Macaca mulatta: one gene and its partner. The protein of the gene in region 2 binds, or shares a complex with, the protein of the main gene of each other region. Links are inferred from orthologs where the notes say so. Each region holds a gene or a part of one and is shown on either strand. Other genes may lie near its edges. The genes, in order: CXADR and JAML.

Region 1 (3,816 bases), on a different chromosome or scaffold from region 2:
CTTCTACAAATGCTGCTACTACGGTACTATGACTAATCATCCTCTTACTCAGTAACCCATTAACGCAAATAAAAGTAACTTACCAAGAACTACCAGCTGAATCTTCTTATTTGCAACACCAGGAGCTTTTTTCACTTTGCACTGGTACGTGCCAATATCTGACAGCTGTAAATTCGTTACATTTATGGATGCATCACCAGATTTGAGATCATTACTCGTAAAATGGACTCGTCCTTTCAGATCTGGATAGTAGTCATCATAAATTTTGTCTCCAGAATATAAAATAATCTAAAAGAAAGCCAAAATTAGACAGGCAGAAAATCAAACACACAACAAAAAAAACTGTCTCTTAAAGAAGCCCTGGATACACCTGCTGCTACAGAACCCCTGCCCCCCAGCAGAAAAAGAGAAAAAGAACACAATATTATGGGGAAACCTAAAACTATCCAAACCACAGAACGAGAATATGGAATCAACGTGATCCTTGGGCATAGTCCCAGACTTCCGTTTTTAACCTGGAAACCAAGACCCAACATGATAAAATAGCAAAGCCCTCCACTGGCCTAGACAGCAGTTTAGTACGATCGGGCAAGAACACAGATGTGCTCATTGGTTTGTTTTTTTTTTCCCCTTTTGAGATGGAGTCTGAGTCTGTGGCCCAGGCTGGAGTGCAATGGTGCGATCTCGGCTCCCTCCACCTCCTGGGTTCAAGCAATTCTCTCACCTCTGCCTCCCCAGTAGCTGAGACTATACAGGCACGTGCCACCACAGCCAACTAATTTTTGTATTTTTAGTAGAGATGGGATTTCACCATGTTGACCAGGCTGGTCAAGTGATTGACTCAAGTGATCCACCCACCTCGGCTTCCCAAAGTGCTATGATTATAGGTGTGAGTCACCGTGCCTGGCCTGCTCATTCTTACATACTCTATTTTTCAACTGCCTCTGAGGCAGTAGTTTGCCAACCAAGTGTAACAAAATCAAGTACCTACTGCCCCCTGCCCCCACAAAAGGCTTATCATAATTTGCCTGTGGAATCTAACAAAAAGATAACTTAGTTGGGTCTTAATACTAAGCTGGAGTTACTTGAGGGTTCTAGACTCTAACAGATAAAATCATAAAATAAACCTCTTAAGATATGTGTACCCAGGTTAACAAGTCCTTTGAATGAATCTTCTGTAACTAAAGCAAAGACCCTTGCCGAATCCACTGAGTTTTCTGAACCACACTTATAGCCTTTGAAGGCAACTACTAAAGGCTGGATGCTTTAGAGGGAAAATAAAATCTGTGTTTGTAATATTTTCTTGGAAGAGAACTGTAGTAGTATTCTCTAACAATCTCTAGCATTAATTTAACACATTTTACAATTTTTCTTTTTTGCTAATGAAATCTCTTCACTCTGGTCATGAGACCCATGGGCCAAAGAGCAGTGATGCCAAAACTCAAATAATAATCAGGAAACACAACTATGACCTGTATCCTGCAAATAATCTCTTTTACCTGAGTGCTAATTATAGGTAGTATAATCAGAATAAATGTCATCTAAGAGTACTGTTTTCCAGGTTTATTCTGCAGAAACTTCTTGAGTGGAGGAACTTGGGTTCTCTTCTGAATTATCTCCTTCCCAACCACACTGACCCCACCCCAATCCACCAAAGATCTTTTTTTTTTTTGAGACAGAGTCTTGCTCTGTCACCCAGGCAGGAGTGCAGTGGTACGATCTCAGCTCACTGCAACCTCCACCTCCTGGATTAAAGCGATTCTCCTGCCTCAGCCTCCCGAGGAGCTGGGACTACAAATGCCCACCATCACGCCTGCTAACTTTTGTATTTTCAGTAGAGACGGGGTTTTACCACATTGGCCTGGTTGGTCTCGAACTCCTGACATTGTGATACGCCTGCCTCGGCCTCCCAAAGTGCTGGGACTACAGGCATGAGCCACCATGCCCGGCTAGATCTTTTATTTATATACAAACTGTCTGCATCTAGGTTGCGCTCAATACCAGTCTGCTAAGTAAATAAAAGAAAGAGTTGAAGGGTCCACAGCTGACTTACTCTGTAAACATAAGCCATTACTTTATTTGCTCAATCTTCTTGACACATCCACTTGTCAACAGCAACACTGACGACTCCACAAATGTGGCTACTCTATCTTCCTTTGATTAATTTCCTTTGATTAAAAGGCTTATCATAATTTGCCTGTGGAATCTAACTCTAAAGGTCGTAGAGTTCGATCTATTGTACTTCCAGTAGCTTGTTAAGCTCCACACACACCTTAGTAGCCTTTTAAGGGGGGCTTGAGAAATAAGATGCATTCCCACTGTTGGTTATTTTATAAGCTAGCTTAGTGTCTTCCCGGAAAATGACGTTATAAACATCAGTTAAGGAATGGGAAGTTTACCACGCAATTTTACATGTCTTCACTGATTCCCCTTCACAACCCTGCAAGGATGATGGCAATGTCCACATTGACATTTAGGCTGAGGAAAGCAGTGGCTCTCACTGATCAGCGTTTGCACAACAAAGATGCAAACCAGATCCATTTAACTTGGCACAGGACATGATTATCATTTCAATATCATTTACAAGCTTACAGAATGCTTGTGCATATAGTATTTTGCTGAATTTTTATAACGACCCTGAGATGCTAGGTATATCTGTTCCTACTTTACACACGAGGAAACAGGTTTGTGAAACATGGGAGGCAGCACGGGACAGCACAAAGGATAACAGAGCAACAGAGCAGCTGTGAGAGTCAGAGGGACCTGGGTTCAAATCCCAACTGCATTTGTTGCTAGCTATGTGACTCTGGGCATGAGAATCTCTGGGCCTCTGTTTCCTCCTTGCCATACATATAATAATTCTCACCTTACTATGTTGTTTTACGGCTTAAGTATATACAATTAAAGTATATAAAACACTGCCCAAGCACGCAGTTTACAGTAACCGCTGACTATAGAGATCACACAAGGAATAAGAATGCAAATTTCTCCAGCTCAGTCCTCCAATTCCCAGTTTTTAACCATTCTGTCTACTAGCTGAAATATATTAAAATAGGGGCTCAGTTAGCATATGTAGCCTAAATTCTATGTATGCATCCTCTTCCGCATCCATCTCTTCCTAACCCTTCTACCTTTCTTTTGGTCTGATGTGACAGTGTTTTAGGTTAGAAGCTAGGTTTTTAACCCAGAAATGGTCACTCAGAGTCAAGTCCCAGTTTCACATTTCTCTTACAACTCCTGTAGACGGCAAAGCCGTGCCTCTCACTCAGCATGGAACACTTGGAGTCTTCTTCCCATTAACAGACACACTAATGGCTCAGGGCACAGCACTTCTCGGTCTCTACATGCACCTTGTCACAAGCTTCACTCAGCAGCAGCACTGAAGACCCATGCTCTCCATACGCATCCTAGGCTTCCCCTATCTTAAGCACAGGATCAGAGTCCTGGGCTCTAAAGGGGGACAGGCACTGCACTGTCACAGGAACGGGGAACTGCAGGACCTCAGATGGAGCCTGTACTCTAGGTGCCAGCAACCCCACAGAGAGAGAAGGGAGAGAACGGGGAGGTAAGAGTGACAAGGAACAGGGTAAGGAGGCTGAGTAGATACAATGAGTCAGGCCCGATTTATTTTGCTCAGGGAAACAGAAAGAAGTTCTGGTAACAGAATCAGGGCAGAGGTTACATCCTTGGAGGGGGTGGCTCTAGTCACTCACAACTTGGGAAAGCACCTTAATTATTTCCTGAACATAAACATCAAGGGCAAACTGACTGGATTTGCCAAGAATATTAATTACCTAACTGCACTGATTCAGCCAT
Region 2 (3,816 bases):
AGGTGTGAAGGAAGTCAGGGAGTGAATCCTGCATGTGTGTAGGGGAAGAATGTTCTTGCAGTCATAGACAGTAGCAAGTGCAAAGACCCTGCAGCCAGTATGCAAGGAGCAGCCAAGAGGTCCATGTGGCTGGAGTGCAGTGACCTAAGTAGGTGAGGGAAGAGCAAGTAGAAGTTGAAGTCAGAGGAAAAGGGAGATGGGCTGGGTCATGCAGGGCCTTGCATTTTGGTATAAATGGGAGTAGGGGCAATGAAGGGTTTTGAGCACAGGAGTAACATGATTTAACTTACATTTTTAAAGCCTCATCTGCTGAAAATAGATTGTCATAGCAAATAAGCAGGGAGACAAGTAAGAAAGCTGTTGCAGGAACCCAGGTGAGAGATGAGCTGGACCAGAATGGTATCAGTGGAGGAGGTGAGGACTGGCTGGATTGGGGATTTATTTTGAAGGTTGAGGTGATAGGATTTGCTGAGGGATTTGATGTGATTTTTTCCAGAAAGAAATTAAGGATGACTTCAAGATTTTTAGCCTGAGTATCTGGAGGAAGGCATTGCCATGTACCCAAATGGGATGGACTGGAAAGAACTGGTTTGGGGGAAAGATGGAGTTCCATTTTAGACATGTTTCAGGTTCCTATTGGAAATCCAACTAGAAATGTCCTCAAGAATAAAAGTATACTTTTGCTTTTTTTACTGGAAAGGTACACAAAATGAAAGTCCTCCTTTTCTCATCCCTCTGTTCAGATGGAACAACTGTTCATGGTTTGGTGATGTCCTTCACAAGCACACACACATGCACATGTGTATGTGCGTGTACATGACTTTGTGTTATTTAAAGCTTTCTGATAATACCCTTACTGCCTTCACCTAGCAGGGCCTTGGGAGTCCTGAGATCTTCCCTCCCCCATTTTCTCTGCTCCCCCCTCCACTCCAGTCCTCACAATCTCATACTTTTTGCCTTCCCCTTCTAGGAGGAGATTGTGTTTCGTTACTACCACAAACTCAGGATGTCCGTGGGGTACTCCCAGAGCTGGGGCCACTTCCAGAATCGTGTGAACCTGGTGGGGGACATTTTCCGCAATGACGGTTCCATCGTGCTTCAAGGAGTGAGGGAGTCAGACGGAGGAAACTACACCTGCAGTATCCACCTAGGGAACCTGGTGTTCAAGAAAACCATTGTGCTGCATGTTAGCCCAGAAGAGCCTCGAAGTATCTAACATTTGGCTGGGGGGCATTGAGGGACCTCCTGGCTGGTGCATGGGGCCAGGACTAGAGTGAGGCCGGAGAGGTTCCTAGGATGCAAAATTGAAGGAGGCATCCCTCTCAGGTGCTGACTCTGGCCTTGCACAACCCTGAGAATGATGCCTCCTTAGAGGTGGCTCCTCAGGTACCTGACTTGCCTCACCCTAATTCTGGCCCCGCTGCTAGGCCAGGGACAGGGGAGCTAATTTAGTGAATACCAGTCCTCTGCCAGACCCCACTCATTGCCAGGGTCGTCTATTGATGTAAAGATACAGAAGCTCAGGGAAGGATCTGAGTTGATGTCCAAAGTCAGCATACTTGGTTTCAAGGGAGGTGCTGTACGCGCTAGAGTGGAGCGGGAAGTGATCCTAAGCTAGTGAGAGACAGCCAGGAACAGAGAGGACCATGCAGGCACCAGAACCAAAAATGGAGGCGTTTTCTAATCAGAGGTTCTCGGTTCTGGCAAACAGCGTGCATCAAGGCCAGTGGTGTGTAGGAGAGGAAAGACTCAATTGTGTTGACAGAGAGAGGTTGATAAGTGAGGGGTTGAAGTTAAACCATAACCCAGTTAGCAATCAGGATGTGGCCTGTGGACTTTGCCCCTTGCTAGGGCCTTCAGGAGTTGGTTGTGGTTGATTGGGGGTGGGGAAGATGGGGTGAGGATGGAACATACCTCATACCTCAGGCCAGAGATTTAAGTCTGTGGAGGCACCTTGTCTCCAGCTGGAGAGGGGAGCAGGGCAGATGGGTTTCTTAAAGAACCATCATCTTTCTGTGTGCTTCCTTCTCAGAAGTCCAATTCACAGAGAAAATCGAGCTATTATGGGGGCTCATGCAGCTTCTCTACCCACAAACATATCTATGTCTCCCCATCCTTATCTCTGCCCTGCCATCCTGAGACAGAGGAGGGTCCCTTCTGCTCTGGGCTTATCTGGCCCCCTGTGCCCAGGTGGCATCCTTCTCAGGAGCCTCACAACATGGCTCTTTGAGCTCTCACTTTCTGTTGGCTTCTACCATTCAAATTTGCTCAATTCTACCACTTACCTACTCCAACTCCCTTCTATGTCTTTTTTTCTTCAGCTCCATTCTGTGTCTTTCTTTTTCTTCAGATTGCTTTCCTGAGATACAATTCACATACCATACAATTTGCCCATTTAAAGCGTTCAGCTCAATGGTTTTAGTACATTCAGAGTTGTACAACCACCACCACAATCATGTATTTCTTTCTCAACATAGCCAAATAGCTTGCTAAAGGTCTGTGTTTGGAATACTACCGTCTCATCTCCCATTAACTCTTCAGTGCACTGCATTCTGGCTTATTCTACCTGTACTCCAGCTTAGACCACCAATGCCACTGCAACTATCCATCCTCAGCCTTCTCTCCCTCAGTAGCGTTGGACACTATATTTTATATGCACTCTATGTTGGACCCAATTCCACACACACTCATGGATATGCATAGTAAACTCTACACAAGTTTTCCACAAATCCTTCATACGCGACATGTCTCACCTACCCCTGTACACCCTTCCTCAGCCCATCTCCCCAACCTCAGTTGTCTAACTAGATGCCTGGGGATGTGCTTGATTCCTTCCCTTTCCTTGACCCCAATCTAACAGGTCAGGTCAACAAGTCCTTGACTCCTACTACAGACTCTTGAAGTTGTCTTCCTTCCAGTCTGTCACTGCCACCTTAGTTCTGGCTGTCTTCATCTCTGTCTTGAACTGTAGGCCTCTAACCAGTCTCTGCTTTCTCTCTCAGCCACTGCTCCTCATTCTTCACACGGCTCTTGGTGCCACCTTTCTAAATCACATTAAGAACTTTCTCTTCCACTGCTAATAATCTTTCAATGGTTTTTTCATTGCCTGCAGAAAAATGCCAAATTCTTGGTTGAGATAGTCAAGGTCCTTCCTGACTTGGACCCTATCATCTCTCCAGCCAAATTCTCCAGCACACCCACAGATGCCACTTTTGTGCCAGACCCATTGAACTCTTTCTAGTTTCTAAAATCACCGTCCTGTCAGGCCTTCAGATCTCGCGCAGAACATCCCCTCTGTCCTTCCCCAGATTGTCTGCCCAAGAAACTGGATGTTTCCTATAAGTCTCAGGTTAAACTTTAGAACTTTTGCTGGCAAATTCTCATTTGCTGCACATAGAATTGGGCACCCTTTTTTCTGTGACCCTCTGTTCCCCGTACAGACTTCTGCTGTAGTGCCTACAGCAGCCTGTGGTTTTCTGTTGACGTGTTTGTCTCCTTCTTTGGAAGCAGGGACCATACATCATTTGTCTCTGAATCCCCTGTACCTAGTGCTGTCTGGTCCTGAGGAGGTGCTTGCTTTATGTGTTTAGAAAGAACCATGCAGATGAGTAGAAGGTACCCTATGGGCAGAAGTACCTCCAGAGGCTTTCCTTGGTATCGTCGTTGTGGGGCTGAGTCTTGCGGCATGTGTTCTTTTGAAGACAACCACTTGCCCTGGGGAAGATCAGCAGCCTCTAAGATGCCTGTTATTTCTCGGTCACTTGTTAAGCCAAATTTTAGAACAGAACTGTTGACGTGAAAGGAAACTTTACTACA

What was found.
Region 1: the proteins of JAML (region 2) and CXADR are in contact, whole or in part, in a crystal structure (PDB 3MJ7), measured with the Mus musculus proteins. The link is inferred for Macaca mulatta from reciprocal best matches to the Homo sapiens genes JAML and CXADR. Residues at the interface, in NP_001005421.3 of Mus musculus: Arg57, Asp59, Ala69, Tyr72, Phe75, Tyr77, Leu80, Val82, Glu120, Arg122, Ser127, Met128, Val129, Met130, Lys131; in NP_001020363.1 of Mus musculus: Thr23, Gly51, Pro52, Asp54, Glu56, Leu58, Ser60, Gln65, Ile66, Val67, Asp68, Gln69, Val70, Leu73, Tyr83, Lys121, Lys123, Lys124, Ala125, Pro126, Gly127, Val128, Asn130.

Annotation. Positions count from the first base shown.
Region 1 is NC_133408.1:30,188,495-30,192,310, forward strand, and holds part of CXADR (coxsackievirus and adenovirus receptor), read right to left. Parts: intron 289-3,816; coding exon 84-288; intron 1-83. UniProt on the Homo sapiens protein: Component of the epithelial apical junction complex that may function as a homophilic cell adhesion molecule and is essential for tight junction integrity.
Region 2 is NC_133419.1:118,872,659-118,876,474, reverse strand, and holds part of JAML (junctional adhesion molecule-like precursor), read left to right. Parts: intron 1-970; coding exon 971-1,208; intron 1,209-3,816. UniProt on the Homo sapiens protein: Transmembrane protein of the plasma membrane of leukocytes that control their migration and activation through interaction with CXADR, a plasma membrane receptor found on adjacent epithelial and endothelial cells.